3 linked regions of the Kluyveromyces lactis genome follow. The protein of the gene in region 1 purifies or fractionates together with the protein of each later gene. This does not show direct contact. Links are inferred from orthologs where the notes say so. Each region holds a gene or a part of one and is shown in the gene's direction. Other genes may lie near its edges.

Region 1 (11,361 bases):
TTTGGTGATTTGGCAGATAAGGTGAAGAACTATGTTACTCAGTATAAAAATAAGACCAACATTACCAAACAAATCAATACGATAGAAGATATTAAAGAGTTCATCGAAAAGTTCCCCGAATTTAAGAAACTCTCAGGCAACATTTCAAAACATATGGCCATTGTTAGTGAATTAGATAGGCAATTACAACTGAAGAATATATGGGAAGTCAGTGAGCTAGAGCAAAACCTCTCTTCACATGATGACAATAACGATGACTTTGTAGAACTGAAGAGAATTCTAAACTTACCAACCTTAGAATCATATTACAAATTAAAATTATGCTGCATTTTTGTTCTACGACACGGCAAGAACGAATCTAGAGTTTCTGAGTTGGAGAATATTCTAAGACAACAGTGTGATCCCACACAAATTTCTCTTTACTTTCAATTTAAACAGAGATTTGGGTCAATATTCAATAAACACAAAGCTCCTCAGGACAATGATTTGATTAGTGGATTAACCAAGAAATTCAACAGATTAGGCAGCACCAGCGCTGAAAATGTGTTTATGCAACATGTTCCTGAATTGACAACACTTCTCAGCGATTTGGATAAAAACAAGTTCCCACAAGAGGGAGTGACTCTTTTAAACCAAAATATTGACCCTAAGACATATATGCCACAAGATGTTGTTATATTGATCGTCGGAGGCCTCACTATAGAAGAAGCGCGCGCAGTACATCAATTCAATGAGAAACAGAGTAAAAATAAGGACAATTGCAGAGTTATCATTGGAGGAACCTCGATTATTTCTACAGAGCAATTTTTAACAGATGTTTGCGCCGTTAATGATAAACCAGTTGACTTATTATGAACTTACGTATGTACTTCAGATGTAGAATTAGGTAAGGAAATGTATGAAACAAGAAAAGAACACTCTCTATCATGCTTTTAAGAAGCTGGACTAAACTTTTGCTCCCAAAGCAGTAATTTCCTCGTTAGCTCATCCATCGTTTTGAAGGATTCGTCGTAACTGGAGAATATTTTATTAATATTTTCCAGGAATTCTTCGTTTTCCACAAACTGGCACAACTGATCCCGTTGACGTTGGTCATTAGATATTTCTAACTGTGTCCTTGAGATAAATTCCAGAATAGCGTTAACTCTTCTTCTCATTTCATGCATAGTGGTCCTCTGAGAGGGAATCCTGGGTTTTAGAGGCTTGTTGATTCCGATATCATTAGATTGTCCATTAGATTTCGACAAGTTTGAACTTCCAGAGGAACCCGATCCTTTTGAGCTGCTAGCTTTAGAATTCCTTGCAACTCTTCCACTTGAGGTCTTGTAAATCCTTGAGTTACTTTGCGTGGTTGAACCATTGCTCTTACCTCTTCTTGATCTTTTTGATTTGGAGTCATCTTCGGAACCTGATGGCGATGTAGATTTTGTTGTCGTTCTAGCTCGTTTTCTTGATTGACTAGCTGCTTCATCAGCTTCAGATCCTTCCACTTCTGGAGATTCCGTATCTCTAGTGTAATTCTTTGGTGAGGCGGACTTCCCTGATGCCTCTTCTTCCTTCAAAATATCTTGGTCTTCGGGATCGGTGCCATCTTTTGAAGAGCGTCTGCTTTCGCGTAGGGCTTTCTCTAGCATAAGTTGATAATGTTTCTCTTCCCTGGCACTGGATGTAGCACGTTTACGATCTGCAACCTTTTGATTTTCATCAATTGGATCAAACTCGCGCTTGGGAATATTTTCATCCTTATCTTCACCATTTCCGGAGTCCGCAATAGAATCTTCACCTTCATCCTTCGATAATTCAACATTACTACTATTTCTCCTTTGCCGAGATAATCTTTGAGATCCAATATTTCCACTAACCACTGAGCTAGAAGGAGATTGGTTCTCTAGTGAACTTCCAGCGTTTGATACTTCTCCATCCGATTCGGAGTTTCTTTTCGACCTTCTATTTTTCCTACGGCGTTGCTGAATTGGCTTGTATATTGACCTCTTCTCACCAAGATCCGTTGTGTAGAGCGAGTGTAGCTCTGGTTTACACTGCTCGCACCAATACTTATCCGGAGTTTCCTCCTCAGATATGCCCACACAATATCCATGTTGCCAAACATGGCATTGTTCACATTGAATATAAAGACCCGAATCATCTGGCGGTTCAATTTTCCCACAAATACACCGAGTCTCACCTTCATCCTCAGGCTCTGGATCAGAGTCCTCTACATACTTCTCTGGTGCAAGGTCCGTCCTTCCACGGTCCCTCGTTTCTCGCTTCATTGCTATGATTCAAGATCCCCTCTTCTCGATTATTCGTCAAATATCAGCTGCAAATCGCCCAAATTAACCGCTCTATGTCGAGATCAGTAAAAATGGCACTATAGAACAGCCCTGAAACTTCTGGAATTCACTCTTGCCCTCCGCATTGCATACATAGAAACTTTAAAACATCTGTTATCCAAGGTGGCTCTACTTATTCCTTTTAAGTCTTTAATCAGTTGGAACACTTTTTCCTCGTTCGAAAAGTACATAAAACAAAAATATCACGTGATCCAAACACATACATAAATACATACATACATATATATAAACCATTTAACGTATCATCACCTATACTCTAGCGAACCAGTCTTTGTGAGGTACTTAACACCTTTGAACGGTTTTTTTGGACCTCCATTAACTACGTCGATTGATTGAAGTTTGATTCCGGAGGGAAGCTGGGATTTGTGTTCGTAGTAACATTTGATGAAACTAGGTTGTAGTAAGGATGTTAAGTGTGAACTAGGTGGTTGAACAACCGAAGATCTACTAGATGTTTGGTCATTGGAGGCGAGTTCGGGTTCCAGTTCCGCTATACAACGTAGTACAGCCATTGAACCGCATACCATGTTTTTGTCCAAATGCCAATTAACTTCGCCACGAGTCATATTTGTTTCGACACCGCCGTGAGTGTTTCTCATGACACGTACTATTCCCTTAAAATTTCTATTCATCCTGATAGTCATGCTCATGTTTTCTATTTCTTTCACCGTCGTGCTCATTCCAACGGTGACGCGGACCTCAAATTCGTCAAGTCTTTTACCTAAACTGCTTTGTAAATTTACGTCTATAATGCCGAGGTTTGAGTCTCTTTTCACCAACGGTAGGGTATATTGACAGAGCCTAGTACGTCCATCAGGAGGTACAAACGTTAGCTTAGTGAATTTCCCAGCGATTAAATCATTTATGCTGTTCGCCTTATCCTCTAAGATGCATCTATGGAAAGTCGTGTTTAAGTGGCTAAGCTTGTGGTCTAAGAGCCCAAGTTTCATCTCAACCAATGGCTGTCCGCTGAGATGGTTGTTTAAGTCGATACAACCCTTGATATGTCCGGTTAACAGTTTCCCCTTTTCCACAATAGCGTTAATTTCCTCACTCATATCGATGAATATTTCGTTATTAGCATAGTTGATGCCGCTCATTCTCCATGGGACACCAGATTCATCAACGGAATGATCAACTAACGAGGAGCCAGGAGACCCAACGTGGAACGAGGAAACGGATGAAGCGGATGAAGATGGATATCTACTGCCACTAAACCTTGATTTTTCCGGACCATTCTTAAACATTGACCCGTCCGGTTGTTGTAAGGTCTTGGTAATTGTATTGGTTGTCGTCTTCAACAATTTCGATAAATCGTTTCTACTTGGGACCATTGCCTTTAAACGGTTCGAGTCTGTTATCACCGGTTGCCCAGCATCAAGGATACAATGGAAAAGCATCGATAATCGATCGAGGTTATTATTTATCTTCTGCTTCGTTAATTGGTCCTTATCGAAATATTGTAACAACAGTAAATCTATCTCTTCTAACAAAGATACCACGGAAACTGTGGACTCTGAACACGAAATTAAACACCAATAAACAACTGGATTCAGCAAAGAAACGTGTCTGCAAAGCTTCAACTCAGAATTTATCTCATTGCAGTATTTAGACTCCCATGATTCGTCTTTACCTTGTAGTTTAACAACTAGTTGCCGAAAAGTAGGGCACTCTGCTACTGTTGAGTACTGGAATAGCGTTTCCTGGCACCTATCATTGACATATATGCTAACAATCATTGTAGCCAATTGCTTAAGTTCACTATGATAACCAACTATATGCGGATAACCCGCTGTATCCTGTTTGCTTGCCTTAATTTTTCATTAGGTTGTTCCATCTCGTACTTCTCTTAATCGTTAATCAAAATTTCGTGAATTTCATGAATTCAAAGAACGAAAGAACAAGACCAACAACAAACTTTAAAGATCAACAAGAAATTCTTGTTTTTAAGGGAACTGAACACCTTTCAGGTAGGCTTCAGAAAGGGTATATTTGACAGCATTTGGTTGAGAATTATCGCAAGAAAGAATATACTAGTTTCCTTCTGTGTTTCCCTTTCTGTCTGCAATTGAAAACACTAGTTGCAGTTTTGTTTCTCTATATAAGCTGAAAGGAGAATGTCAAACCCACCAATGAATCCTGGCAATGCGAACCCTTTGAGTAACATAGGGACGCCTTCCTTTTCGCTTTCGCAGGTTCCACAACATATCCTACAATCCTTGACGCCAGCGCAGTTGCAGATGATTCAGCAGAAACATCAACAGTTGTTATTGCAGAGACAAAGACAAGCACAGCAGATGCAGCAAGAACAGGTTTCTTCTCCCGGTAATATGAACCAATTGGATGCTGCTCAGCGTGCGCAGCTAATGAAGCTCAAACAACAACAAATGCAGAGATCTCAGACGCAGCAGCAACAGGAGCAACGAGCTCAGCAGGTGCAACAAGCCCAGCAATTGCAACAACAGCAGGTTCAACAGCAACAGCAGCAGTCTCCTCCCCAATCTCAACAACGAACTTCTTTGAATCTTCCTCCACAAATTGCACAACTATCACCGGCATTGCAAATGCAATGGCTTCAGTCCATCAAACAACAGGCTATTGCGAGAAATAACCAGAACGCTCTTCTGATGATCACTCAGCTTGAAGTCAAATTACAGCAACAACATAGACAGCAACAGCAACAGCAACAACAGCCTGTACCACCACAACAACCTGTTCAGCAGCAACAACATCAATCCCCGCCACGCAACATTATTCCTCCTAACCAACCGCAGCTTCAACAGCCTCAACCTCAGAAACCTCGTATACCACTTCAGCAACAAATGGGGAATCCACAACAAATGATTGGAGGTCAACCTATAACTCAGAATATACCAGTTATGAACAGTAATCAATCGATGGTTCCTTCGTCACAACAGCCACAATCACAACCACCACAACCACCACAACGACAACCACCACAACGACAACAACAACAACAAGTCCCAGTTTCAGTACCACAGCCACCTCAACCATCACAAGCTGCAATACTACAGCAAGTGCTTCAGAAGTTTCAGAAACAACTTCCTGATATTCCCAAATTCCAAACTATTCTTCAAGACCCACCTGAGACTCCATTACCTCATACTAGGTTATGGTCAGAGAAAGAAAGAGCTGATAACGAGCCTGTGAGTTTTGATACAAGATTATATGAACATGTTATTGAACGGGATTTGTTGGATAAGGACAACTTGTTGGCGGACACTAATGGATTGGAACCTATTTCCAAATTCGGATTCAGTCAGAGGGAGGTAATATTGAGATTACAGCAAGATCTTGATTATTACAAAGAATTGAGGAACAGTCGAATGCAATCCATTACCAACACAACTCAAGGACATAAATCTAAGAGTATATGGGGTGACGGTTATTCTGGATATGGAAATGGCTTCAGTAACGATCTCACAAGGATTCAAGTCGATGACACTTATGAAATGCACTTGGACGAAATATATGAATGGACAATGAATCAAACAGGGGAGGAACTAGTACCTGTTAGATTAGAGTTTGATGCAGAAAAGGATAAATTTACTTTGAGGGACACATTCGTATGGAACAGATCAGACACGCTACTGTCAATCAACGAATTTGTGAAAACAACGCTGAAGGATTATAGGCTCAAAGTCACCACGGAGATGTATCAACAGATTGTGAATAGTATCAAAGAACAACTTCAAGAATATACTCCAAATCCTTTTGAAAATGTGCAGAGGTTCGGGGGCGATGATTTCAGAATAAAAATCAACCTAGATATTGTCGTTGGACAACATCAATTGATAGATACCGTTGAATGGGATGTGTCAAATCCAGATAATTGTCCAGAATCGTTCGCGGAGTGTTTATGCGAAGAACTATCCCTTCCGGGTGAATTCTTAACAGCAATTGCACATTGCATTAGAGAACAAGTTCACATGTATCACAAGTCATTATATATGGTTGGTTACAAATTTGACGGTAGCCCCGTTGAAGAAGACGATATCAGAACAAGATTCTTGCCTGTACTCACCTTAGCAGACGTAATGAGACCACAAAAGGATACGTTTTTATACACACCTAACTTATTACAGATATCTCCCGCAGAACTAGAACGTTTGGTTAAGGATAAGGACAGAGACACTAGAAGGAAACGTAGACAAGTTCGTTTCAATAGAAGAGGCAATACAGAAAATCACCCATCGTCCGGAAGTACACCGCAACTACCCCATGATGCAGAACTTCCTGATCTTGGGGATATCCCAAAAACGTGCCGTCAACTACTTCCAACAACAACTTTGCCTGGAGGTATTGATGTTGGTCCAAGTACGTTATCGTTCCAGCCATCAACTAGAGTCGAATATTTAGACAGAGCTAAAGCAACTCCAAAACAAGAATTCCAACAGGAAGTAAGAAACTCATCAGCATGCAGAGTTATTATGCACGACGTTGGGAAATCTTTACTCGTCACTATAAAGCTACCAAAGGCGAAGACAACCATTCAATGAGTAATTCGCTATATATATATATATGTACATATGTATTTATGTGGTACCACCTGTAACAATTTTAAGAAATACTATGATAAATAAGCTAGAAGAAAGAGCACTGAAGATAGCTATGAGAGACCGAACGCCGATGATCGCGGGCTTACTCGAGGGTCTTGACACGCACCTCTACGTATATCGATATTTATGTGTGCCTGTTTCATTCTTTATGGTGTAAGCCTCTAAATTTCATAAACAGCTCAAAACCAAAAAATATATTTAGTAATGGAAACGTTAACATTTGAACGAACCAACCCTTTTAAGAAACTTGGTATGCAGAGGCCACAAACTCATCAAAGCAGCCATATTTGAGTGTTACTCGAGGGTAGTAGAGTTTACTGAGATTATCTACGCGGCGAGTATGTCTGAGCATTCGGAATTCGTAGCCGGAAGTGGCGTTGGCAGGAGCCAAGATGAAGTCGGTGGATCTTCCTCAGTGACTTTGTCTCCTTCACAATCGCAGTCGCAGCTGCAAACACAGCCAGAAACCGAATCTTCAAGAGCTGATGATGTGGAAACAGGGACAACTTCGTCGTCTTCTAGACTGCACCAGATGAATGGGCAGTTCCAACAACATTTGAACTTTGTTGCCCGAAAGTTCAATATATTAGATAGACTGTTTAGAGGCGGCAGTTCAAGCGAGCAAGCGATGAGGTTACAAGTCGGGGCGAGTTCTGATGGTGTATTCAGTAATCTTATGGCGAAACCTGAAAGGAACGGTATCAATGGGAATGGGGAACAGGATAAGCCTCCTACGTATGACGAGGCTGCGGCTGATATGGCTCCACCATATTACGGTATAGACGACGATGGCGTTGGATTGTATTACAACGAAATTTGCATCGACGGCCTTCCAGTTGGGAATATATTCAATTTCTTATGGAACGTTGTGGTCAGCTTCAGTTTCCAATTTGTCGGGTTCTTGTTGACCTATATCTTACATACATCACATGCAGCTAGGCAAGGGTCCAGGTTTGGACTTGGGGTAACTTTCATTGGATACGGATATTCCATGATACCGAACGATGTTTCAGGAAAGATAGGAAAGGATAATGAATTGAACAGGTTTACATTTGATAATCCAGATTCGTTTGAAGAGATTCGTCTATATACAAGTACTTCTACTCAGGATGAATTCGAATCGGACCTTTCTCATGGAGTAATGGAAAAGACGCGGCACACACCGGCATTGGCCATATTCGTTATACTGTTAGGTGGGTTCATAATAATCAAGAGTATCTGGGATTACATTAAGGTCAAACGCATGGAGGCACGCTTCTTGCAAGATGCAACAGCAACAGCAGAAGTTTAAAATCCTCTTTTTGACTTCCATGATATTAGCATTAGCAGACTAACTGCTTTCAACCTTTTCTCATATATTCAATTCGTTTTTTGCCCTATTCACATTTTTATTCACTATTCTATTTTGCAGCTTAAAGACACCCTTTGCAGGGTCAAAACTCTCGAGTTTAACACTACTACACTCATAAATAAATGGTTCATCCCATCAGAATAAATCAAACTGTAATCCTATCCATTAAGTTGTTGTGGATCCAAAATTAAAAAAAAATACACTATAATAAAACAAACAGGCTGTCTCTATGATTGTTCCTCTTCAGAAACTAACAAAAAGGAAATTTTTGTCTTCTCTTAATTCAGTGCACCCTATGACCAAATTACTCTTTTAATCTATTTCATGATACAATGGTTCCTTTTACCTGATGCTATTCGGCATGTTTGATGTCTCTCATGTGGATATATGCAAACATGTGTATTATATTTTTTTGTATATCATAACAATATAGATGGAAAAGATTCTCATCAAATGGCCGATCATCTTTATGATGCGGATTAAGATTATCGTTTAGTATTTTTTGTTTTATAAGTAAACTACACGTTTGTTACACACTAAGAAAGCTGAAAGGCTAATTATGCCAAAACCGTCAATACCTTCTCATAGATGGTGAAGACAATACCACCAGAAAGGATCAATCTACCCAATCTTGGAGTAGCACCTTTCCAGAAAGTCTTCAAACCTTCCTCCTTGAAAATGGTAGCGAAACAGTTAATAGTAGAAGAATATTGGCCTGCATTCAAAGATTGCATTCTTGTCTTAACGGTATCGATAGGCATTGTCGTATAAACGGTAACGATACCACTGAAGGCACCTACAATGAAGGTCAAACCTGAACTCAAAGGTTTATCCTTAGGTACGTTTGTGTAATCTTGCACCAAAGTCTTGATCTTGTTATAACAACCCAATCTAACGGCTTGATTTGCAGCTTGTCTCATGGAAACTGGTAAGACACCTCTATAAAGACCAGAAAATCCTTGATCGGATAAAAGCTTAGCATAATTGCTCACCATACCTTTCCCGTTATTTTGATATTTTGGCACAGCAGCTTGCTTATCATCGATCAATGCAGTCTTGATGGCTTCGAATGGAGTCACAGCCACGACCGATTCCAACAAACCTGCACCTAACCCGGCAACAACACCTCTAAATCCACTCAACTCACCGGTCTTCTTGTCTCGAAGCAAGTTCTTGATTGTGTCGAACCCAAGAAATCTAATACCGGCCTTTGCTGTGTTACCAACGATGAAAGCTGGACAACCGACGTAAATGGATGAAATACCGTAGTTCTTACCCGTATTGTATATTAGAACCAATGGATTTCTGGAAGCTTTACTAGCCTTATCCACCAACTGTAACCTCGTTTTGGCAAACTCGAAAGGATAAGTGATGGAGGCTTCTATAGCACCTGCGATTGATCCTGCTAGGAAGGAATGGAATGGATCTACAGCCGGCTTATTACTTGACATCGTCGATTCACACTGCGTGAGCTCGTATATTTGGGCACTAAAGAAAAGTACTGAATAGAACAATACAAGACAGAGCTGGAAGCTAGATAAACGCTTGAAACAGTTGAAAAGACTCTCTTTATATGAAGCTGTCCGATGGGCAATCAACTGGCACAGCTCAAAAAAAAAAGAGTCAGTAGCACAGGAATCTGGTCCCTTTCTCATCGCAGATATTGGCATCAGATGTCTTTCACCTATCATTTGGACCGTTGAAATTCCAGCGGAAAATCTGCAAAAAAAAAAAGGGAAGGAGAAGTACACAAGTCACGTGAATGTTTGGAATTATCAACAGACTTGCCAGTGGAGAATACCAGTTGTTAATGGTTTCTTTGTTTGATATTTCGAATCACTTTTCCATGTTCCAATACTGCTTTGTAGATGTGCGGGCTGCTTTTCAATTTTCCACATAGGTTTTAATGAATGCAAACACCCACTAGGTGTTATATTACCTTGCTGTGAGAACTTAACCTATATTATTATCGATAGAAGCTTATTGAAACGATTACGACCTCGAGATCATCTTGTTTGGAGGTAATAGATGTTAATAATAGCTTCAGCGGTTATTTGTTTTCCTGGCCTCTTCACCCATACACCCGGAAAGCAGCATATGATTTTCTTACCCGGAATATAGCACGTGACCAACTTGCTGTTAGATTTTTCTGTCGCCTGGCAGGTAAGGACCGGTCCCATTCATCCTAAGCTCATAATAAAACTGCGACCGCACTATAAATATAAAGACAATTGCACTGGAAAAGAGCCAATTATGTTGTACATATCCTCTCTCTGCCTTCTGACTCCTTCACAGAGATACAAATAAAACAATGTCTTCAAGGATTCTTCACCGGAACCGTGAAATCCCGATTATTTTCCTTTTTTTTTTCTGAATCAAGACTGTTCATATGTCAGGTTTTCAAGTTAGACTTTCGGGCTTTTCAAGCCAAAACCTTTAAAAGAAGAAAAGGATTAAAAAAATAGAAGATTTGATACTCAAAGGTTTGGAATGATCGCTTGGAATAGTGTTTTTATCTGGTCTTACATTCGTTTAACGCTAGTTCCGGCATACACAAAAATATATCGGCATTATTTTTGCTTCGTGATCAAGTTATAGTACTTGATTTTTATTTCGTCTGTGCCATATATTATAGCCGTTTTCCATTAATTCGAAACTGGGTCCTATAAGGAATGTCGACAAATGTCGCTGCAAAGAAGGCGACAAATGATGGTACCGGCGGTACTGTTACAGCTTGCAGTATGAATAGTAACACGAAGAATTCAGGTCTGCTTCCGCGAAAATCTGGTGATGCAGCAGCATACACCAGCAAACAGAATTTTGATTATATATTAAAATCGGGCCTTGCCGGAGGGGTAGCAGGTTCGTGTGCAAAAACCTTGATAGCCCCTTTAGATCGTATCAAGATCCTTTTCCAGACTTCTAATCCGCATTATGTGAAATACGCAGGTTCGTTCCAGGGGTTACTGAACGCTGGTGTGCATATTTGGTCAAGAGATAGATTGAGAGGGGTTTTCCAGGGACATTCGGCTACTTTGCTGAGGATTTTCCCCTATGCTGCAGTGAAATTTATAGC
Region 2 (10,476 bases), on another chromosome or scaffold:
GGCAGATGCCAACCTCACATTATGGGAAAAGAACCTGGTATGGCCGAAGCTCTTGTTGGACTTGGCACCAGGTTTTATTATGATGTTTTTGTTGGTCTGGTATTTGATTTGGGATGCAATTTTAAACTGTGTGGCCGAATTGTCCTGTTTTGCAGACCACCATTTCTACTCTGATTGGTGGAACTGTTGCTCCTGGTATGATTTTAGCAGATTGTGGAATCGTCCGGTGCATAGCTTTTTATTGAGACATGTATATCACAGTTCGATTAGTGCGTATCACATGAGTAAAGTTCAAGCCACCTTATTCACATTTTTATTAAGTTCTGTGTTTCACGAGCTAGCCATGTTTGTTCTTTTCAACAAGTTCCGTGGTTATATCATTATCCTGCAAATGTCACAAATTCCATTTACAGCTTTATCAAACATTCCATTGCTCAGAGATAAGAAACTATTTAATAATGTTACCTTCTGGATTGGGATTTGTTTAGGACCAAGTATGACTGGTTTGCTGTACTTGATCTTTTAATTTTGGAGCAGAATAACCAAAATGATGAAATATTCATATGAATGGTCGTCGAATAAATATGTACAAGGTTAAGGTAAATCTAGATACCTTTTATATAAAAGAAAAGTCAAAAAGTTTACAATACAAGGATAATTTTATCTATATATTTCATCAAATGGTCTTGTGTCATTGAAGCATGAGTCCCAGACTTCATCTACAACTCTTTCCGCATGTTCTTTATCTCTACAATTTGGATTTCCTGAAACGCTGATCGCAGCACGTCTTTTCACACAAGCTTGATGACCTCTATCAACCTTAAACCCAGTATTGAACCCACGTCTTGCAAATTCTTGGAAGAACCGACACTCACCACTCAAACTTGAAGCTCGAATCTCAGAACAGGCGTGATGCCTCAAATTTAGCCAATCCACTTCCCATTTCAAATTATCGAAATAATGCACCAATTCATGCGCCAGAGTGTCTTCCAAATGCCATTTATCTTTAATTCTATTCTGACAGATTAGAATACCTAAATCTGGATGAAAACCACCAGATTTCCAGTCCGGACATACATCACATATAATCTTCGATTCGTCAAACTTGAAAACATCTGCATTAGTATTTTTGTTGTTAAGTTTGGCTATCTGTTGCGTCATAAAAATGACAGTTGGTGAATAGTTTAACAACCAATCTCTATACTCATAACATTTGGAACACTGTTTACGCTGTAGCACAAACTTGTAATCATTCTCGTACTGTGTCTCCTCTTCCGGTGTCAATCCCAGGCCCGTTTTGTATTGGAACGTTCTTCTCCACCAGTTGAAGCCGCTAACAGCGGATTCTGATTTCGGCGGATTAGGTTTTATCAAATCTTCCTTTGGAGGCGGTGGTACGGACATTTTTCACTGGCTATCGCTTCAGTACACAGGTTTGCAAGCCTTCCTTTTCTTAATCTAGTGCTGTTGGTTAGGTAGATATTCAAATTTTCTTATGATTTCAAGTGATACTCGAATGAAGAAGATGACCTACGGAGATCTGTTTCTGTGCAGAGACAAAAGTGAGATTCAGCATAAAATAGTGTGTTCATCCTGAAATGAATATAAACATTTTTTCCTTAGATCATATAAACACTTAGGAATGCTATCAATGGTTCATTTCAGAAATGTGTATACAACATTGCAATCTTCTTTTCACACACGTGATTTGGTGGTTTTTCCTTTCTATACCTTCACTATTAATAATTTTTCGATTAAACTGATTTGAGCTGGCGATGAGCTATACAGCATCTCTCGAAGTTGTTTGAAGATATTAGTTGCCTTTCTGTCTAGATTCATTCTCAGTAGTGCCCAGACTGACACAATAGCTATATCAGACTTCAGAAGCATGAATATTTGGATCGCAGCTAGTAACGGGGAGACCGAACTAGTGGAAAAATTTATTAAACAAGGCCAAACCGCAAACGACAAGGATGAAAACGGATACACCCCAATCCACGCGGCTGCAGCATATGGTCATATCGACCTGCTAAAGAAGCTTGTACAAGAGCATAATGGTGATGTAAATATCAAGGACTCTGACAATGACACACCACTTCACCATTGTGAAGATGCGACTACAGCCAGGTCTCTAATAGAACAATTAGGAGCTGATCGTGAGCTTTTGAATAACGAGGGAAAGACATGCTTCCAGGTGTGGCAAGAAACATGCGACGACAACTTGGACCTTTTGAGATATGCGGAAGAAGTCCTCGGAGAAACCATATTCAATACTTCTCTTGGTATTGATAAAGAACAGTTAAATCAATTTAAAGACAACATACGTTACACGTTAGAGAACGATCCAGTAGACGAGACAGATCCCGAATCTTTGGAACGTAGAAAGAAACTAGAGAGCATAATTCAGGGTGAAAACGCAGAAGAAGAGCTTGAAAAGTACATTAGAGATTTGATTCATAATCAATTCTTTTCGAATAACAATGACAGTTCGGAAAACAATAAACGAGTCAAATAAAAATTGGAAGCGTAAAAACTTTATTCCACTAGAAATACCTAATCAAAGGTCGTCCAGTGTTATAATTCATGTATTTCAATTTCGCTAGTGTATGTAATCTATTAAATCATCAATCGCATAGTGTCAATGATTTTATGTTACCCTACTGAAATTTTACGGTCACGATAAAAAATATTTGCGGAACTTAGTAGAGACATCGTCCATCTTGAAGAGAAAAAGATCTTGTATATAGATTCTACTATAGAATTATCTCTTAGGCAATTGAACCTAACCTAAAGCCAGTGTTGTCTTTTTCCTTTGATTGACCAATACAGATATCTAAAAATTATCAAGAAAGATGTCAGCAATTTTGGCGCCATTGGCCAAAGCTATTGACTATGTTAATGCATTGAACAAAGACTTTTATATCCTTTCTGTTGAAGAACAAAAGGAATTAGGACTTTGGGGCAGAGTGACTGCTTATAATTGGACCTTTGAATTGGCTTGCATTGGTCTCATGGCTATCTTATTTTTCATTTCTTATTATGGTAAGACTCTGAACAATAAATATGCCGATAAGATATTTGGTACTTTGAACACATTCTTGTTAACAAAGTTATCTTTTACAAAGGTTGGTTTTAGTGCCGATGGCAAGAAGATGCCATATATTGAGGAGCAAAATAACACCTGGTTCACATCTTTTGCCACTGGTCGTTCTACTATTGAAAGCGTAATTGTTAAGGCACACTTGACGGCTCGTCACAACCCATTGGCATTGTTAACTCAAAAGGCATTAGCTTTGTTTTTACCAACATTAGTTGCCAACGACATTGAAGAATTCATCTCAGTTACCATTACTCCAAATGGCCAATTCGTCTCTACTGAAGATGCTAAGCTAACTGCCAACTCAGCGGAAACTTTGTCCAAATTGAAATTCATCACATCTATCGTTAACAAAGCAGTGATGACTAAAGCTCGTGACTCAAACTACTTTTTATCATTGACCCATACCGCTGAAAATGAATCTTTACCAGCAGACTATGTTTTCATGTCCGAATCAAATAAGTTGAACGGATTTATTCCTCACTATGCCGGTGAAGATTTCAAGGTGTTGCTATCTAAATCTGCCAAGTTCTTGAAGTTTATTTCTTTCACTGATTTACCAGAAGAGAAACCGATTACTGACAAATTATGGGAGTCTTCTCAATTGCCACGTTGTGTCATCTACTTATCCTTGGTAACTTCTGACAAAGATATCGAATTGTTGGAGGAATTGATAACCAAAGTTGTCGAAATTTATGACAATGTTACTAAGGATATTCAAACTAACTCATCCAATTCTTTCATCACCACTGATATTTTGAAGAAGGGTATTCAATTGCGTAAAGAAGAGTTAGGCAAGATTGTTAAAGTCATGCAACAGGTTGAAAGAGAAATGGCTCTTGAAAAAAAACAAGAAGCTGAGAGACAAAAGAGAAAGGATATGAGAGACAAGTTGACCGACCAAGAACTTGATAAAATGGAGTTGAAGAAAAGAGAAAAGAGAGAAAGACGTCTGAGAAACAAACAGAAAATGAGAATTTAGAAAGTTCATCACTATTGGGGTTGTTTCTCATTCTCGTCTCTTTATTTCCAAAGCAACAGTTAAAGCTGATCAAGAGAAATATGCTCGTCCAGGTGATGAGCGTTCCTGTAGTAATAACTCTCTTGTCAATCCCCATTTAGTATGAATCATCCAGATCTACTGTCCACGTTATTACTTCAACTGGTAGCGATTGGATGCAACGAACTTTCTTTATTGTTTTCGCAAGTTATTTTAATGTAATTTATGTACAAGTGTATGAATGTGCCTCTGAACCGCAATGGGGACGAGACGTCACGAACAACATCCATGATCATTATTATTTTGTAAGACATTGGTATCTCAAATGATCCGCGTAAGGAGGAAAAAAAAGATAAAACATTTACTATCATAAGTCTAATCCTGGAATCTTCACATTCTCGATAGTTATTTCTTCGTTTAATGCTGACTTAGGAGTTTCTGGTGTCTTATTTTCTTCCTTGGATACCTGCTTAGCCTTCTTTACGTTCTGTTCAGTCTTCTTCACCGTTGATTCGGTTGTTTTTAATAAAGCTGCTGCTGATGCACGTGATCTCTTAGCTGAGGTCAACAGGGCTTGGTCAATATCAGTTTCCTTTAGAATGTAGCGGGCTCCATTATAGTTGTGCAAGAAGTTTCTCATTAGTGAGGGCTTGACATTTACCACCTCGCCGGTATGAAATTGGAACTGAGGAAAATCTTTTAATAACTGTACCTGTACTCTCTTTGTACGTTTGGTTAAGGCAGAAAGACACGATGATGTCGGTCTGAACATTTTGCTGTAATATTTTAAAAGCCCTTGGAGCGTGTGCAGTTATTGGAATAGCACTTCAAACACAATTGACGCTATTTTTAATTCCCTGCTTATGGTTAACTTTTAGATTGATCTTGTTCTAATGTGATTTTAAACTATCAAAAATTTTTGAAGCTTTAAAATCATATCTAAGTGCCAGCCTAGTTAAAAGATGTGTACATAAAAAGAAGATAAAAGATTGGTTTAGCGAGTGACAGCCGTTCATACTGTACTACTCCGTGTTTGTAACCTTTGAAATACTTATTTATAAATGAACTGCGTAATGGATACAATCTAACCTAATACGATTCGCTATAAAGTATTGTATGGGTGTATGGGTGTATGGGTGCTTTCGTTGTTTCAACATCAGTTTTTCGAATTATTCAATCAACCTAAACAAAGCATTCACTAGCTTTTGGTACATTAACTTACATGCATCAACTTGTATAGATGAGACATATCATCTGCTTACCTCCTAGTAGAATAAACTAAGCTACCGCTAGATTGAGATTAAAGAAAAATCAAAATCAAATGTCTGCGGCACAGAGTGGAGCAACGGTTGAACATCAACAGGCACAAACTGTGCCAGTTGCACAACCAACTGACATGTATATCCAACCGTATTTGAAGAAATTAATACCAGAATTGGATGGGCTAAGTAAGTTACAAGAGGCTGAGAAGAGAATTGACATATATTTAAGTCGTAAAAAAATTGATTTGCATCAGAATATTACTCAATGGACTCATTCCAAATACACAGATCCTGCGAATAATCAGTTTGTTCGTGTTTTCATTTCTAATATTTCTGAGAACCAGCCATGGCAGACGAACGATGAGACCATGGAACTTGATCAAGCATCATGGACATTGCGTATTGAAGGTAGACTGTTAGATAATGGGAAGGCAGACGATCCAAATAGGCCTAAATTTTCCTCCTTTATAGAAAGCGTCGCGATAGATTTCAAACCTGTAGAGGAAGATCAAGATGATGAAACTGATCAAGAAATGGGAGACCCCTTATTAGAAGGGACACAGGAACCTAGTGCTAAAAAGCCAAAAAATGAGCAAACCGTTTTTGAATGGCATGTGGATCCTAATACTCCTGTAGAGTTTGACGGTGTTGATGTTTCACGTAAGGGTACTGAAAACGTTAACTGTACCATCACTATCCAACCAAAAGGGTATACAGGGGAGTTCTTACAGTATTCACCAGAACTATCATGTATTGTCGGATTCTCAAAAGGAACCTTTCATGAGGCGATATACTCTCTTTACAAATATATTCTATTAAACAGTCTATTGACGAATAACGACGAGGCGGGACCAAAGGATTCCACAAACGGTGAGAAAGTCTTAGTGAAAATGGATGCTTCATTAGCAAAGCTAGTGTCTCCAGAAAGGCTTGCCGCAGGCATTGTTTCTTTGAAGCTCGCCGATTTGCCAAGTCTAGTGAAAGATCATGTAAAACCGATACCTCCAATAAGACTTGACTATACTATTCGTGTAGATCAGTCTTCCACTTTCGGAGATTTGGTATTTGACATGGAAGTACCTAAATCAACGTCAGTTAAAGGCGACCAAAAGTTGTCAAAGGATGAATTATTGCTATTGAATGAATACAATACGCTATCAACTGCAATCGAACCACAAATACAAGAACTAAATCAGAAAACACAACTATTACAACTACAACTAAATTCAAGCGCAAAGAAATACCAATTTTTTGATAAACTAGCTAAGGATCCAGTTCCAATGCTACAAGATTACATGGAATCGTCATCGCAGGCTCTCAAAGTGTTATCAGGGGATGCTGGCTTCAATGAAGATACAGTGAGAAGATCACAATTCTACCAGGACAACGATTCAATTCTTTTTGAAAACATTGGAGTTCTACTTTCAAGCGGAAGAATGAAATAATTTCATTCAGTATTTTATCGCTTTCATCATAAATATATGTATACCGTATACAACGTATACCTTGGTAGTTCTTCGCAGAGCGGGCCCATACTTCGTGTATTCAACAACCGTATAGAAAACATTTGTACTATGAAATCGTCTAAAATGATTAAAATCGTTCAGAAAATATTGAAAATTGTATTGAGTCATCTGTAAACCTCTGCTTTCATCAACTTACCACGAAGCAAACTGTTGAAGTTTATAGTTGAGAATAACACTTGTTAGTTGTTGATTAGATCAGGCAGAGGCTCCAATAAGGTAAGATATCCAATCTAAGACCAAATCAAAATGTCACAAAGCTATAGATCTACGAGGTCATCCGATCCTGCTACCAAAACTTTTGAGGAAGCTATTATTCAAGGTTTAGCTTCGGATGGTGGTTTGTTTATCCCATCCATTATTCCTCAAGTCTCTAAATCAGAGTTGTTTGATAAATGGTCTAAGTTGTCCTTCCAGGATTTAGCTTTTGAAATCATGAAACTTTATGTTTCTTCAGATGAAATTCCAGAAGCCGACTTAAAGGATTTGATTACTAGATCTTACTCTACTTTCCGTTCTCATGATGTTACCCCGTTAGCCAAGAATGTCACTGGCTCTAATGAAAATCTTCATGTCCTAGAGCTTTTCCATGGACCAACTTACGCATTTAAAGATGTTGCTTTACAATTTGTGGGTAACCTGTTTGAATATTTCTTGCAAAGACATAACGATGGATTACCAGCCGACCAAAGAAAGAAAATTACAGTGGTCGGTGCAACTTCTGGTGACACTGGTTCTGCTGCCATTTATGGTCTAAGAGGTAAGAAGGATGTTGCTGTTTTCATTCTTTACCCAACAGGTAGAATCTCCCCAATTCAAGAAGAACAAATGACCACCGTTCCTGACAAAAACGTGCAAACCTTATCCGTTAAAGGCACTTTCGATAACTGTCAAGACATTGTCAAGGCTATCTTTGGTGACAAGGAATTCAACTCTAAACACAATGTTGGAGCTGTGAACTCGATTAATTGGGCTAGAATTTTGGCTCAAATCACATATTACTTCTATTCCTATTTCAAAGCTACTACCGGTAAAGAAGAAAAAGTGAAGTTTGTTGTTCCATCAGGAAATTTCGGTGATATTCTAGCTGGTTACTATGCTAAGAAGATGGGTTTACCTGTTGAGAAGCTAGTTATTGCCACTAATGAAAATGACATTTTGGACAGATTTTTGAAGAATGGTGTGTATGAAAGATCGGACGATGTCGCTGCTACACTATCTCCAGCCATGGATATCTTAATTTCTTCTAACTTTGAAAGACTACTTTGGTACTTGGCTCGTGAATATGTGGCCTCTGGAGACGATTTGAAAGCAGGTGAAACTGTTAACAACTGGTTCCAAGAATTGAAATCCAAGGGTAAGTTCGATGTTCCCGCTTCCTTGATTGATGGCGCCAAGAAAGATTTCGATTCCGAACGAGTCAGCAATGAAGAAACTACAGCTACCATAAAGCAAGTTTACGAGCAATCGGTCAATCCAAAGCATTACATCATAGATCCACATACCGCCGTCGGTATTTGCGCCACCAAAACGCAAATCACAAAGGATAATGATAACACTATCAATTATATCTCTTTATCCACTGCACACCCAGCTAAGTTTGCCGATGCTGTTAACGAGGCTCTTTCCAGCTTTGATGGTTACAGTTTTGAAAAGGATGTTTTACCAGAAGAACTCAAGAAGCTATCTACATTGGGGAAAAAGCTAAAATTGGTGGAAAAGGCGGATATTGAACTGGTCAAACAAACCATCGAAGAAGAGTTAGTGAAGATGGAAGTTTAAATATTTTTTGCATGAATCACATTTATAAATTGACCTCCGTATATAATTGATTAAAAATCATCCATGTTTCTACTTCTGAACGTCTTCAAACAGTTGTTCTTCCGACGCAGCATTCCTTTTGTCTGCGGTAAGTTTGATGTTTCCCTTACCATCTATATCCACTTTGTATCCTGCTTTTTTCAAAACATCTCCATCGACAGCTTTCTTAGCCTCAAGTTGTGAGATAAACTCTTGATTCGTGCTGTTATTCGCAAGAAGATATCTGATACAGATGATACATCTTTCTTTGATAAAGGGATTATTGTCATCAATAATACAGTTTGAAAGAACAAGTTCTAGACCATGCAGTTCCCTGACAGAGTCTTGTACGTCTTTCTGTTCATACGACATAAACCCCAACAATTCAACCAAAAAGCACTTGATACCGGGGAAGTTAGAGTCGTTAATCCTATTGTTATGGATTCTTTTCTTGAGAATCACAGCATCAGTTATAACGTTTCCAACATGATCGGTAGCCCTTACGGGGTGAGCAGAAGAATCTACATTTTTGGCCCCAGAAGATTTGTTAAAATGAATTTTCAAACAATTGCGCTCCAAGATATCAAAGAGTTTTATTATTTTATGCACCCCATCATAAGAAATCATGTATTTCTGTGCATGTTGGTATTTTGCAAGTGTAGTTAGAATATCAAGAACCGAGGACAATATCGCAAAAAGTGGGCCGGCATCAGTTGCTTCTGGAGTGGACTCTGATTTAAAGAAAGCATCCACTAGATATGTATATTCTTCGAAAATATCAAAAGTCCAGCTTAGAATTGCAGTCAACTGATAAAGGTCCCATCTTTCTGAACTGGTCACCAACATTGTGACAATCTTGAACATTTTGTTGAAAGAAGCAAAACCATATTCTTTTCGTAAGGTTTTCATATAAGACCCGAAGCATTCATGTGTTACTAACTGTTTTAATATTTTTAGTTGAATAGTAGCTAAGGAAGAAAGATTTTTATCCTCATCTTCCTCTTCAACGAGCAAGTCAATCTCAGTTTTCTGTGCAATTATTCCCCGCAGTAGTAGTTTGTCGATAACTTCCAAAGATCTAATATCATTGAGTAAAGATGAGATGAATGCATCACTTTTCATTATATTTGAGAGCCACAGAGAGTACGCATTAACAATGCCATCATCATCAATAAACCGCAGCATTTCTACCATGAAATTCATATGATCATCAAAACAGCTCTCATCAAAGACAACATTAGTTCGGGTGCAATTGAAGTAAAATTGACATACTAGACCATATAATTGCTTCAAATCACCAGGCGTACACACAGTTTGTCTGGAAATGGATAAATACCATGCCAGGAATGTGTTAGGTAGTAGAATATTTTGAGGTATAACCTGATTTGCAACTGAAAGATTCCTCGCTATTATTACAATTCCTTTAACAATTCTCATATACTGGCTACTGCAAGCTTGTTTCAAATCAACAGATTTTCCAAGTATAGCTGATTCTCGAAGTTGGAAGAAGATATCTTTCGAGCTGGCGATTTCATTTCTTCTATCTTCTATTGTGGTTTCTTTGATTAGGTCATTAAGTGAATCAATTATAGTAATGTACTCTCCTGAGTCACTTGGTGCATCGTGGATTAAACTGTGAAGCTTGGACCACCTAATTTCAGACATGTATGTTTAAAGCGCTTTTATGAACAGTAGAGCGCAATGTCACGCTTTGTACCGCAATTTCTCTATTTTGAATATTCTTCATCTCATCTGATCTCATCTCATCTCAAAACTGTTCCTGAATTATAAGGT
Region 3 (10,383 bases), on another chromosome or scaffold:
CACTAGCAGCAGCCCTGTTATACTCCGCGTTTCTAAAGATAGCCCTTTGAGAAGTCTCACGATCAATGGTATCCAAACGTTGTTGAGCGTTCAGTTTAGCTTTGGTTAGGACTGTTTCTGAAGTCAAGTTCTTGATAAGCCTTTTCCTTTCTTCTTCCCTCTCTCTCCAGTTCTTGTCGGTGACATCATCCGGGTTGAAATCCTTCAATGCAGCAACAGCTTTCTGTGCCCATTCAGCTGCATGAGATTCCTTTTCAGCGGATTGGATGTACTCCTTTTTGGTAGGTAAATTAGATACAATATCAGAAGTTAGAGAGAAACTTGCATCAGCAGCTTTGCCCACAGAACGATCAGTGATACCTCTCACATAAGAAACCTTTTCTGGATTAGTACGTTGATGAACACTTTCAGCAGCGTTTCTTTCAGCACCCGCCAAAACTTTAGTAATATCCATCTTTGGTGTCTTAGAGTGCAATGGCGAAGAAGAACTGGAATTGACATAGGTTACAGTAGTACTTGCTGTACTAGAGGTCCTAGACCTAGCAGCCTTGGGAGCAGCAATTGCAGCAGAAGACGCAGCAGACGAAACTACAGCACTGGCTGGTCTGGATTGGTCAGTTTTCTTTGGAGTAATGACCGCATTAGCTGCCTTCGAAGCATTTGGATTCAATAACCTTTTGTAGGCTTCGATGGTGGTCTTGTTGCTCGTTGCCAAATTGGCAGCAGTATCTGAAGCATCCTTACCATTAACCACGCCGGCCTTCAGAGACTGAGCTGGAGACTGGAACACACCGTACTTCAATTTTGCTCTGTATAGAGCCTCCTTGGATAATGGTTTACCGGCACTCTGGTAAACAGAACTTTGTTCTGCACCATTAGTATCCCTGGATTCGTCGCCAGTTACCGCAGAAACTAAAGACATTCTGTTTCTGGTAATATATCTGGGTATTTTCTTAGCTACTAATAATTCAAAGTAAAAAGCGAAAGTGTTCCTTAGACTCGTACAATTGAGCGACCAAGTAGTGTAGTTTTTTGGTTTATGTTCCTCTCAAATTTGTAAAACACAATAGGACTTGGTTCACGTTCTGATTTCGATATCAGTAATTTGCTTATCCTTTGCCCGTTTTTTGAGAAGTTTAGTATTAACTCTTCTTTCTAGTGGGAGTAAACGTAACTATGATAAACCTTTACTTGTAATTACGAACGAAATACACTTGAATTCACGTTTGTTTTATAATAAAGCAACGAAGCGAATATATGCTAAAGTGAATTGTTGATTAGAAACCCTATAATTAAGGATATATAATTTCTTGATATTGCAAAGTAAATAAACTTAAAAGAAAAAAAAATTGGCTAGAGTGACTTTTTAGGGACTCCTGGCGAAAAAAAACTGGCCAGAATAATTGAGAATAAAAAAGGAAGGAACCAAGCTGAGGTACCGCAGAAACTTATACCCTCAGTGTAGTTGGAACCCTTGCTGTTGAGCTGGTGCCTTGGTTGTCATCTTTGTTTGCCGTTTTTAAGGGGACGATTGCTATTACGAATTGTATCATTGTATGTACTGTGTTGCAGAGAAATAGTCTCAATTTGGGAACAATGTCGTAATGAAAACAGGGGAAAACTCGGCTGGTTACCCTGATATACAGTTTGTACGTTGTTTTCTGTGAACCTTCTTTGATGGTTCTTAGCAGGAAGAAAATACTCACGACGTTTTTGCTAATTATTTCATTGCAATCCCGTGCGGAGCTAAAGCATATCACAAAGGAGACATAGAGAGTTTTGCGATGGGTTAATTCAGGAATTTAATTGGACTCTCAAGTCATTAGACGGTGCTGTCCATATACCAGGGTAATCGTCAGAGATTATGGGGATTTTAGGCTCTCCTATTTATCCTCGCTTTCTCTTTTCATGTTCTTGTACGGCCGGTACAGACAAAAATGATAGAGGTACAGAATTAAGCATAATTTCCCTTTTTGGTATTATTACTTGCTTTGCAATAAACAAACAAAAATATAAGTCACGTGATTGAACTTATTCCCCAATCAGGAATAATGTAAACATCATCGAACAGCACTATCACAGTGATTGTATTCAGTTGTAGAGATGGATGGTTCTGGCTCTCTCACCAAACTTTGTTCGGTGTATGTTAACAATTCACAAGGATTGAAGTTAGATGTACGGTATCTGTTTTGTCATTCAACAATCTACAATTGAAGGGAAGTTGAGGGCATAACAAAGAGTAGGTATTAGCAAGGAAAGCTATCGATTGAATGACTCAAATATACAACTATCAAGAAAGTTTCTGGGACGAAGACGATCAAGGTGTTACCGTTCTTCTTCAGCATGTTGGAAGAGGTATATGCACCTGTGAGTTATTGCTCGATTGTTTCACTAAGAGAAGTGAGTTGGAGATGGATTATGCAAGAAGATTAGGAGCACTCAGTGCAAGAATAATGAACAATCTCGAACGATATGCGGACTACAATAATATGTCTGAATCCTTAAAATATTTCCAATCCTCCCAGCAGACAATAGCCAATGGTCATTCTAAGGCATATGAGAGGCTCAACAGGGAAAATGTCGGTACGATGAGTGATTTCTTAAAGCAATATAGAGCCAGATGGTCAACGATAACGGGAAACGTGGAAAACTTAAGGAAGTTGAAAGATGAAAAGAAGAAAGCCTTGAAATCTATAGATCAAGAATTACTCAGTGCTGAGAATAAACTGAGAGAGTATCAGCTCAACAAAGAAACTGCCTTGGGCGAATACCAAAGGAAAGAAAATGCGAGAGAATTGGAAAAATGGTCTTCGATAGTGGAAGAATCACACCGTAGGAAAACCGTCTTACATCATGAATGTAAAGCTGCTAGAGCACATTGGTTTGAGGAATGGAGACATATTAGTGGAGAATTGCAAAGTTTAGAAACACAAAGAATCCAGGTCTCTAGGGAATTACTACAACAATACGCTGATTTTACAACCCAGCCTTCGGAACTGGAACTCTCTTTGATGGAACAATTAAAACAAAAACTTTCCAGCTTCACACCTGAACTTGAAATATCGCACTTTTCTTACCACCATGGTACTGGAAGAATCAAGTTGAAAAACTCTAACTCAGTTTCAACGCACAACTCAAGTGCTAACTCTAACCCATCTAATGTGATCCGTCCGAAGAGTTCTCACAAGGCGTTGGATTTAACAAAGAATGATAGGTATGTTCAAAATATAAAAAGACTATCAACCCAGCTGAAGAACACCAGGCTCAATTCAATAAATGCATTAAGTGTCGATAAAGGGTTGCCAACTCCAAAAACTGATGCTGCCCTTGTTAATTCCATAGAATCGAAGGTCCTAAATGATAACTCTGCTCCGCATTCCGTTGAAAACTATTTAGAAGTGGTTACAAAGCCAGGACATGGAGCAACATTATCAGAATCTTCAGAAGAGACTTCTTCAAATCCAACGGACTTTACTCATAGGAAAAATAAGGCAAGTTATGATTCCATGTCGACTTCTCTCTCATCCATGGCCTCAAGTGTCGATGACTCTCAAAGGTTTGCTAAATCTTGGAATTCACGCAATAGAAGAAAATCTAGACCTTCATCAATGTATTCGCCCACAATGGATACGGATACTTCTGACAACGACAATAACAACTCTCTGAAGCCACCAACTGCAAATCGTAGAAAATCCATCGCATCGGATGTCGAAACAGCATTAGAAATCTTGGAAATGAATGATCGTCCGATGACATCAAGAACGAGCTCTGGTGCTTCTAGCAACTTAACTGTGAGCAGAACAGTGTTGCCTTTCAGCAACTCTTTGAATATAATGCGTTGTAAACGTGTGACTATTGATGGTGAACAATTGAATCTACCCATCGTTGATTCCATGAAAAATCCAGTCGTAAAATATGTCAAAGCGATGTATTCGTACACTGAACCCAATGAAAATAACATACTACTTTTCAATTCTGGTGATATCCTGCTGTTAGTCGAATGCATAAATGATGACTGGTATGTGGGTGAGGTATATCAAGGTAACAAACAGCATGGTCTGGTACCAATGAATTACGTGAAAGTAATAAATTGATGTACATCACTTTCACCTTGGACGCTTTCCTTTCTGACCATTTTCACCCGTTAAATAATGAATTTGTAACCATATGTAACCAATATAAAGTTCTATACTTATATATAATTTCTGCTCTTCCAATAGACATCAAACTATTAGCAAATTGAAGCTGAGCAGATAAATCTGTACTTTAAATGATAGGAAGGATTGCTTCAAATAAATTGACCTCGTATCCTTCTAGCTAGTTGCATGTCCTTTCTCATAATTGTAATTCTTTTAGCATGAAGTGCCAATAGATTTGTATGCTCTAATAAACCGACTAAGTAGGCTTCACTTGCTTCTTGAAGAGCCATAATTGCCATGGATTGCCATCGAAGAGGTTCGCTCTCGGTAGTGAATTGATCTGTTACCTCTTTCACTAGCCTCGCAAAGGGCATTCTGGATATAAGCAAATCTGTGGATCTTTGATATTTCCTTATTTCTGCCAAAGCTAGGTCAGTAGGTTTATATCTAGTTCCCCGAGCCTTTGTTATTCTTTCATGTGCGCTGATATGATGCTCTGGAGGGTGAATCTGCTGGCTGCTAGCAGAACGCTCGGGCTGGATGTATCTTGCTTTGTCTTCACTTCTATTTAACAACAAACGTCTTCTTCTGTTTCTCTGTAATAATTGTAGTGCTCTCTGATTGATCGATTCACGATCTATAAGTGAAGCGCCAACATTGCTCAAAGATCTAGAACCGTCTATGCTCCTGATAGACTGTTCCATTATGTATCAATCTCTTTTCCGTATGGTCTTTTGCGTGTCATAGAACTAATTTCAATGTTTCGCGTGTCATATTCATCATTGAGTAGGCTAATGTTAGCTAGATAACTGTTTTCATTATTTGAAAAATTCAAAAAGTAATAGAAGATAAACAAGTTTATACTTTGAATTAGCTACTTGGATAGGAAAAGTCTCGTCATTGACCTAGCAACTGTAACTCGTATTGTTACGATAAATCGAGCACTTTGTTGTATTGTTAGAAACCATTTAGCAAAAATGGCACCATTAAGACAAGACAGTTACTTCGTATGTGCGGTATCCAGATTGTTCATTATTCCGAAAACATTAGTTATTTAAACTACTAAGATAACTTTACTAACCGATCCACTCACATTACTACATGTGGTACTTTTGTCCAGATAATATATCCAGGATCCAATAGGACTTTGGTTCAATTTGGTATTGGAGAAGATACTTTGCAGCCGCCTTCGATTTCTATTCCAACAAAAGTTTACAGAGATGCAAATGGTAACTTTACATCCTCTGTTACTGATGTTGTTATCTGTCCCATTGTGAAGGGAAGCATTGTCGATATTGATGCGTTCCAATATTTTCTAAAGTTGATCTATAAATCTGTGTTAAAACAGGAGAGTGACGATAGTCCAATCGCTTGGGATACAGCTCTTTCTAATATTCCATTTTTGTTAATTTCGCATTACTCTTGGACTCAATTCCAACAAGAACTACTTTGCAGAACAGCTTTTGAAGCAATGAAATTGAAGCATTTTGTTATATTACCTAGCTCGTTAGCTAATTCATTTGCCTATGGCTCTTTGCAAAATTGTTTGATCATCGATATTGGCAAGTTTCACACCGATGTTGTACCAATTATGGACTATACACCCTTAACCTGCTTCATAAGACAGATTACTTCCGGTGGAAACTCGATAAATAAGAATCTACAGAGAGCTTTACCAAATCTCACCGAGTCCCAAATTGAGGATTTAAAAAGGTCGGATATATACGAAATTTTGTCCCAAGATATCATGGATCAATACGCTATCGACAACGAAGATGACGAAGAAGGTACTTTAGATGTGGCTACAATTGTTACTAGTGGGCGTGATACTCGAGAAATTCTAGAAGAGCGCGAACGAAACAAAAACAAAGAAAAACTGGACAACAGCAAATTAGAGACAAATGACTTCTTTGATACTGATGGTAATCGTATTACTGTAAGCAGGCAGAGATTCACAGGCTATGAAGATCTGTTGAAGGATGTCTCGAAAGCTGTAGGACAAGCAATGAGCCAGATTGATGACATAACCAAGCTTAAAGCAATGTGGGAAAATGTCATTATTGTTGGAGGGACATCACATATAAAAGGGTTCAGGGAAGCTCTTCTATCACAGCTGCTAAAAGACCATATAGTTAGTGAACCAGAAGAGGAACTGTATAAAAGAGAGGTGGATGCTGCGGCTAAATTAGATTCTAAACAGAAGAAAATTGGGAAGGTTTCCACTGCTCCAATCTTAAATCAGATTGAATATGTGCAGCCACCAACTACCATCATGACACCAAAGTTCCCTGAATATTTCTCGGAATGGAAGAAGATTGGTTTCGCTGATATTACCTTCTTAGGCGCCCAGATCTTAACAAAGCAAGTGTTTGGGCATTCTAACAATTCATTCTATGTCACAAGGGAGAAGTATGACGAACTAGGCCCAGAGGCCATCTGGGAGGTTTCTTTCTAAATAATTCTAGTACTTTTTCAATATATAAACGTATACAGATATCCATTGTAATTTCAATCAGCAAATGCAGTTCAGAGTACCGTACATTTAGAAAGTGCCCATCAAACTTCTCTAGAGCATTGAGCTATGACTCTTACTAGAATTTTGATCATTTGTTTGTTCTAAAGATTTGCTCGCTCCGGGAAAGCATTCTAGATCCACTTGATATTGGTCTTGTACCCAGCTTCCCGTTATTGTTTTGTTTTTGTCTCTGTGAGGTAAAACTGGACCTTCTTTTAGTGAGGAAAGGAGTTTTTGTAGTTTTATACCCATTAAGTTGTGTTTCGGCTTCCTGCTCAGCTAGTAATGCCGCTTTGTTAGCAATGGGATTGATTGATGTTTCATTATTAGTGAATCTTTCATTTTTGCTTTTAATCGCTGAAGTTAGGGAATGCAACCATACCAGGGTATCTGATTCGTCCGTTTGAAATACAAATGTTTTGAATGGCGTCTGTACAACGAAGATATCTTTCGAACTTGTCTTCTTCTCTGGTACAACCTCCTTTATGCGAACACCTAACTGTGACAAATCTATCTCATATTCTAGATCATAGAAAAGGTTTGAATTTTGATTAATTTTGTTTTTTCTAGCAAATAAAAGGCACCTTCCGAATGTCGTTATTACACACATTCTTTTAATATATTCTGATTGTGCGATAAATTCTGCAGGTGCATCAGGTGCCTTTGAAAAGAAATGTTTCAATTTTGACATACCCTCATGCGAAGCCTCATCTGCGCCAGATTGCTTACGATAGCTCGCTTCAACATTTTCAGGATCAATCAGATACTCACTATAAAAGTCATGCTCAACCAAGTTTGAGTTCTCTTGACGAAAGCCAGTTACATTTCCGCCTCCTCTAACAACTTGAGTCAGTAGAGTATTTTTTTTCTGCACCCTTCCGTCTGCATCTAAGAGGGAGAGCTTTGACTTGCTAATCTTCGCTTCAAGACTTTGGTTTTTGAGCGTGGTAACATTGATCTCCCCCATCTTTATCACACGTTCTTGTATATTTTTTAAGTAGTACGACCACATTATATCTAATTTACTCATTGGAGATAAATCGGACGATATTTTTCTGATATTAGAAGACGATGAAGGAGGAGCAGACTTGGATGATGATGAATTTGTACTTGCACTGCGGTTGGAGCCACTAGGTTTCCTTTGACTTCTTCCAGAACCCGCAGAAGAAGTTGAAGATTTTGCTGTCGTTTCATTTAATGGTTGCTTAATTTGCTGAAGAGCTGCTGCTGCTGCTGTTGCAGGATTAGGAGTGATATCACCTTGGCTTGGAGAGCCGGAGTATTGTTGTGATGGTTTAAGGGCAGCCCGTCTGTGGTTCCGCTGAGAAATTTCTTTTTTAACATTATTCAAAATCCGCTGTGTTCTAGGGTCTAACTCACGTTTTGTTGTGGTGGATGTCGTGTCACCATTTGGCCTTTGTGCTGTTGTCGTGTTTTTAGGGGTTATCTTCGGTGATACTGAGCTTTGTCGAACAGGTTCATGAATTGGATTAATAGCCGGAGACGAGGCCACCTTCGGTACCGAGGATTGCAAAGCACGGGCGGAAACCTTGTATGGACCAAGTTCTGGGGGGTCTTTATCCCAAACTGAGCCGTTACCGAAGTTTACATCGGCGAAAAACTGGTGAGCTTTAATTTGATTGATCAGCAATCTTCTTTCTGGGTTTTTAATTAGAATATTTTTCACCAAATCTCTCACAGTCATTGGGAAGCCAGCGGTAAAAGCAAATTGAACTTTCATTACCTTCTGGAATGTCAAATATTCATTGTTCGCCTTAAATGGCGGTTTCCCGGCTATCATTTGGAAAAGAATGCAACCAAATGCCCAAATGTCACACCTAAAATCAACGTAGTTATCATTCAACAATTCTGGTGATACATATTCTGCTGTGCCAACAAAGGAGTTAGATCTTGTCAACAGATCGTACTTAAGGTCATCCTCCGAAGTACTATCTAGAAGCCTTGCAGTACCAAAATCAGTTAACTTGACTTTCATATCAACGTCTAACAAGATATTTTCTGGTTTCAAGTCTCTATGTATAACTCCCTTGTCATGCATGAAACCTAATGCATCGATTATTTGTGCTGCATAGTACTGTGTACATTTTTCATTGACTGAACCATGCTTTCTCATAAGAGATAATAAATCGCCATTTGGTGCATATTCCAACAAAAAGTATAGAGAGGATTCATCCTGGAAGGTAAAATATAAAGAGATGATTCCTTTGGTATTCTTCAACCTCTGCAAGGTATTCTTTTCAATATTAACGTATTTTACCTTTTTCTGTTTGATGAGGTATTCTTTATTCAAAATTTTGACCGCATATTTTTTATTACTTTCAATTGAAGTTGCAAGCAGCACTGTTGAATAAGATCCATCACCTAACGTTTCTCCAAATTTGAAATCATTAATCCCCTTTTTGATGACTTGCTTTGTGATTTTCCCTGTTTGCTTATCCGGAACATCCTTCACTATCATTGCAGCACCACGATCTGCCCATTCCTTCTGCCTACGCTGCATTGATTCGCTAATGGGTAATTCCTTAGGTATTGAAATGTTATCATCTCGCGTGGAATCAATTGTTTCGACTGAAGACAGAGAGTCGTTTCTTCTGTTCAAATACTTCGGATCCAAAGAGATAAAATTGTCAACGTCTGTTAATGCTTTAGTTAAAACAGGAGGATTCGGCTTCCCAAATGGCTTCATTTCTGAGAGGTTAGATAAATCATCTGTCGTTCTGATAGTGGGTAGAGGAGGATGTGATAGTTCCATCGGAATTGGAGGTGGCGTTGGTCTATGCATAACAGATCTGGCAGATCCTGACGTAGGTATAATGGGTTTGTTAAAAGAATCTTCAGAAGACATATTGATGAAACTCTTAGAATGGTATTTTTATCAGTACAAATGCAAAGCAACAAATTTCGATATTGAACAAAGAAATATTTGATACCAAAACGCTGTTAGTTGATATTCGCTTAAGGGTATGTTTACAATGCAAAAAAAGGAGATGCTTCAACCATCAAACCTTAAAATATGAAGAACTTCAATTGCTAAAAGAAGACAAGCCAGACAAAAAAAAGGACGATTCAAAAATCAGGGGATTTTAATATTCCTAGCAACTCAATACCTTATTCACTAATGGGTATATCTATCACAATTGCTTCTAGACTTGATTGTCGTTCTTTCTTTCCTCTCTTCTTCTCCACGTATTTTCTCTTGCTTTGAATGTTAATGTTAAGTAAATTCCAAATGTTCATATTTATTAAAGTAACATCTAGTGGTCACGTGATATATATTTGCGTCTCAATACGGACGTATATCCGTAAACTCTCGTCATGTGTGGAGCTTCAACTGTCATGTGAAGCACAAGTGGATGTTTGTTTTCGCTTCTTGTCGTCTAGATGCAGAGAATGTCGACACCTAGCGCTAGGATCGTCGAGCAAGTTACTTTCCGAACACAAAGTAATTAACGATGATGTTATTGTTCGTCATATGTGTCATTGAATATACTTGCATGTCAAGCATTTATAAATGACATTATCTCTGGGATCCATCGAGCATAACATAAGAAATATACTATTATAAATAATTACAAGACAGAAATCTTTTGTTATTCTTGCCAGTTCCAATTGAATATCATCATATACAGTCTCCAAATACTCATAAAAAAATGGCACACGCAACCTCTTACAATGTCTTCATGTTGCCAGATTTAGAGGCATACGTCC

The links.
Region 2: the proteins of SNF5 (region 1) and RSC6 purify together in Saccharomyces cerevisiae (affinity purification with mass spectrometry; 5 studies listed by BioGRID, with this or other methods). This does not show direct contact. The link is inferred for Kluyveromyces lactis from reciprocal best matches to the Saccharomyces cerevisiae genes SNF5 and SNF12.
Region 3: the proteins of SNF5 (region 1) and ARP9 purify together in Saccharomyces cerevisiae (affinity purification with mass spectrometry; 5 studies listed by BioGRID, with this or other methods). This does not show direct contact. The link is inferred for Kluyveromyces lactis from reciprocal best matches to the Saccharomyces cerevisiae genes SNF5 and ARP9.

Annotation. Positions count from the first base shown.
Region 1 is NC_006041.1:1,661,835-1,673,195, reverse strand, and holds SNF5 (Snf5p), read left to right. Parts: upstream 1-4,471; coding exon 4,472-6,874; downstream 6,875-11,361. Other genes in the region: VPS45 (Vps45p), read left to right, coding at 1-855; CTI6 (Cti6p), read right to left, coding at 933-2,273; APM3 (Apm3p), read right to left, coding at 2,600-4,093; BSD2 (Bsd2p), read left to right, coding at 7,275-8,225; CTP1 (Ctp1p), read right to left, coding at 8,843-9,976; LEU5 (coenzyme A transporter), read left to right, coding at 10,958-11,361. UniProt on the Saccharomyces cerevisiae protein: Involved in transcriptional activation. Component of the SWI/SNF complex, an ATP-dependent chromatin-remodeling complex, which is required for the positive and negative regulation of gene expression of a large number of genes.
Region 2 is NC_006039.1:787,472-797,947, reverse strand, and holds RSC6 (Rsc6p), read left to right. Parts: upstream 1-5,418; coding exon 5,419-6,804; downstream 6,805-10,476. Other genes in the region: ARE2 (sterol acyltransferase), read left to right, coding at 1-526; ATP23 (putative metalloprotease), read right to left, coding at 661-1,404; KLLA0_C09108g (uncharacterized protein), read left to right, coding at 1,889-2,515; KLLA0_C09086g (uncharacterized protein), read left to right, coding at 2,853-4,079; mitochondrial 54S ribosomal protein bL9m MRPL50, read right to left, coding at 4,465-4,869; threonine synthase THR4, read left to right, coding at 7,132-8,664; CTR86 (Ctr86p), read right to left, coding at 8,734-10,347.
Region 3 is NC_006039.1:1,059,304-1,069,686, reverse strand, and holds ARP9 (Arp9p), read left to right. Parts: upstream 1-5,116; coding exon 5,117-5,146; intron 5,147-5,259; coding exon 5,260-6,594; downstream 6,595-10,383. Other genes in the region: LPX2 (Lpx2p), read right to left, coding at 1-922; formin-binding protein HOF1, read left to right, coding at 2,271-4,094; centromeric DNA-binding histone H3-like protein CSE4, read right to left, coding at 4,289-4,843; serine/threonine protein kinase PKH1, read right to left, coding at 6,743-9,520; KLLA0_C12463g (uncharacterized protein), read left to right, coding at 10,326-10,383.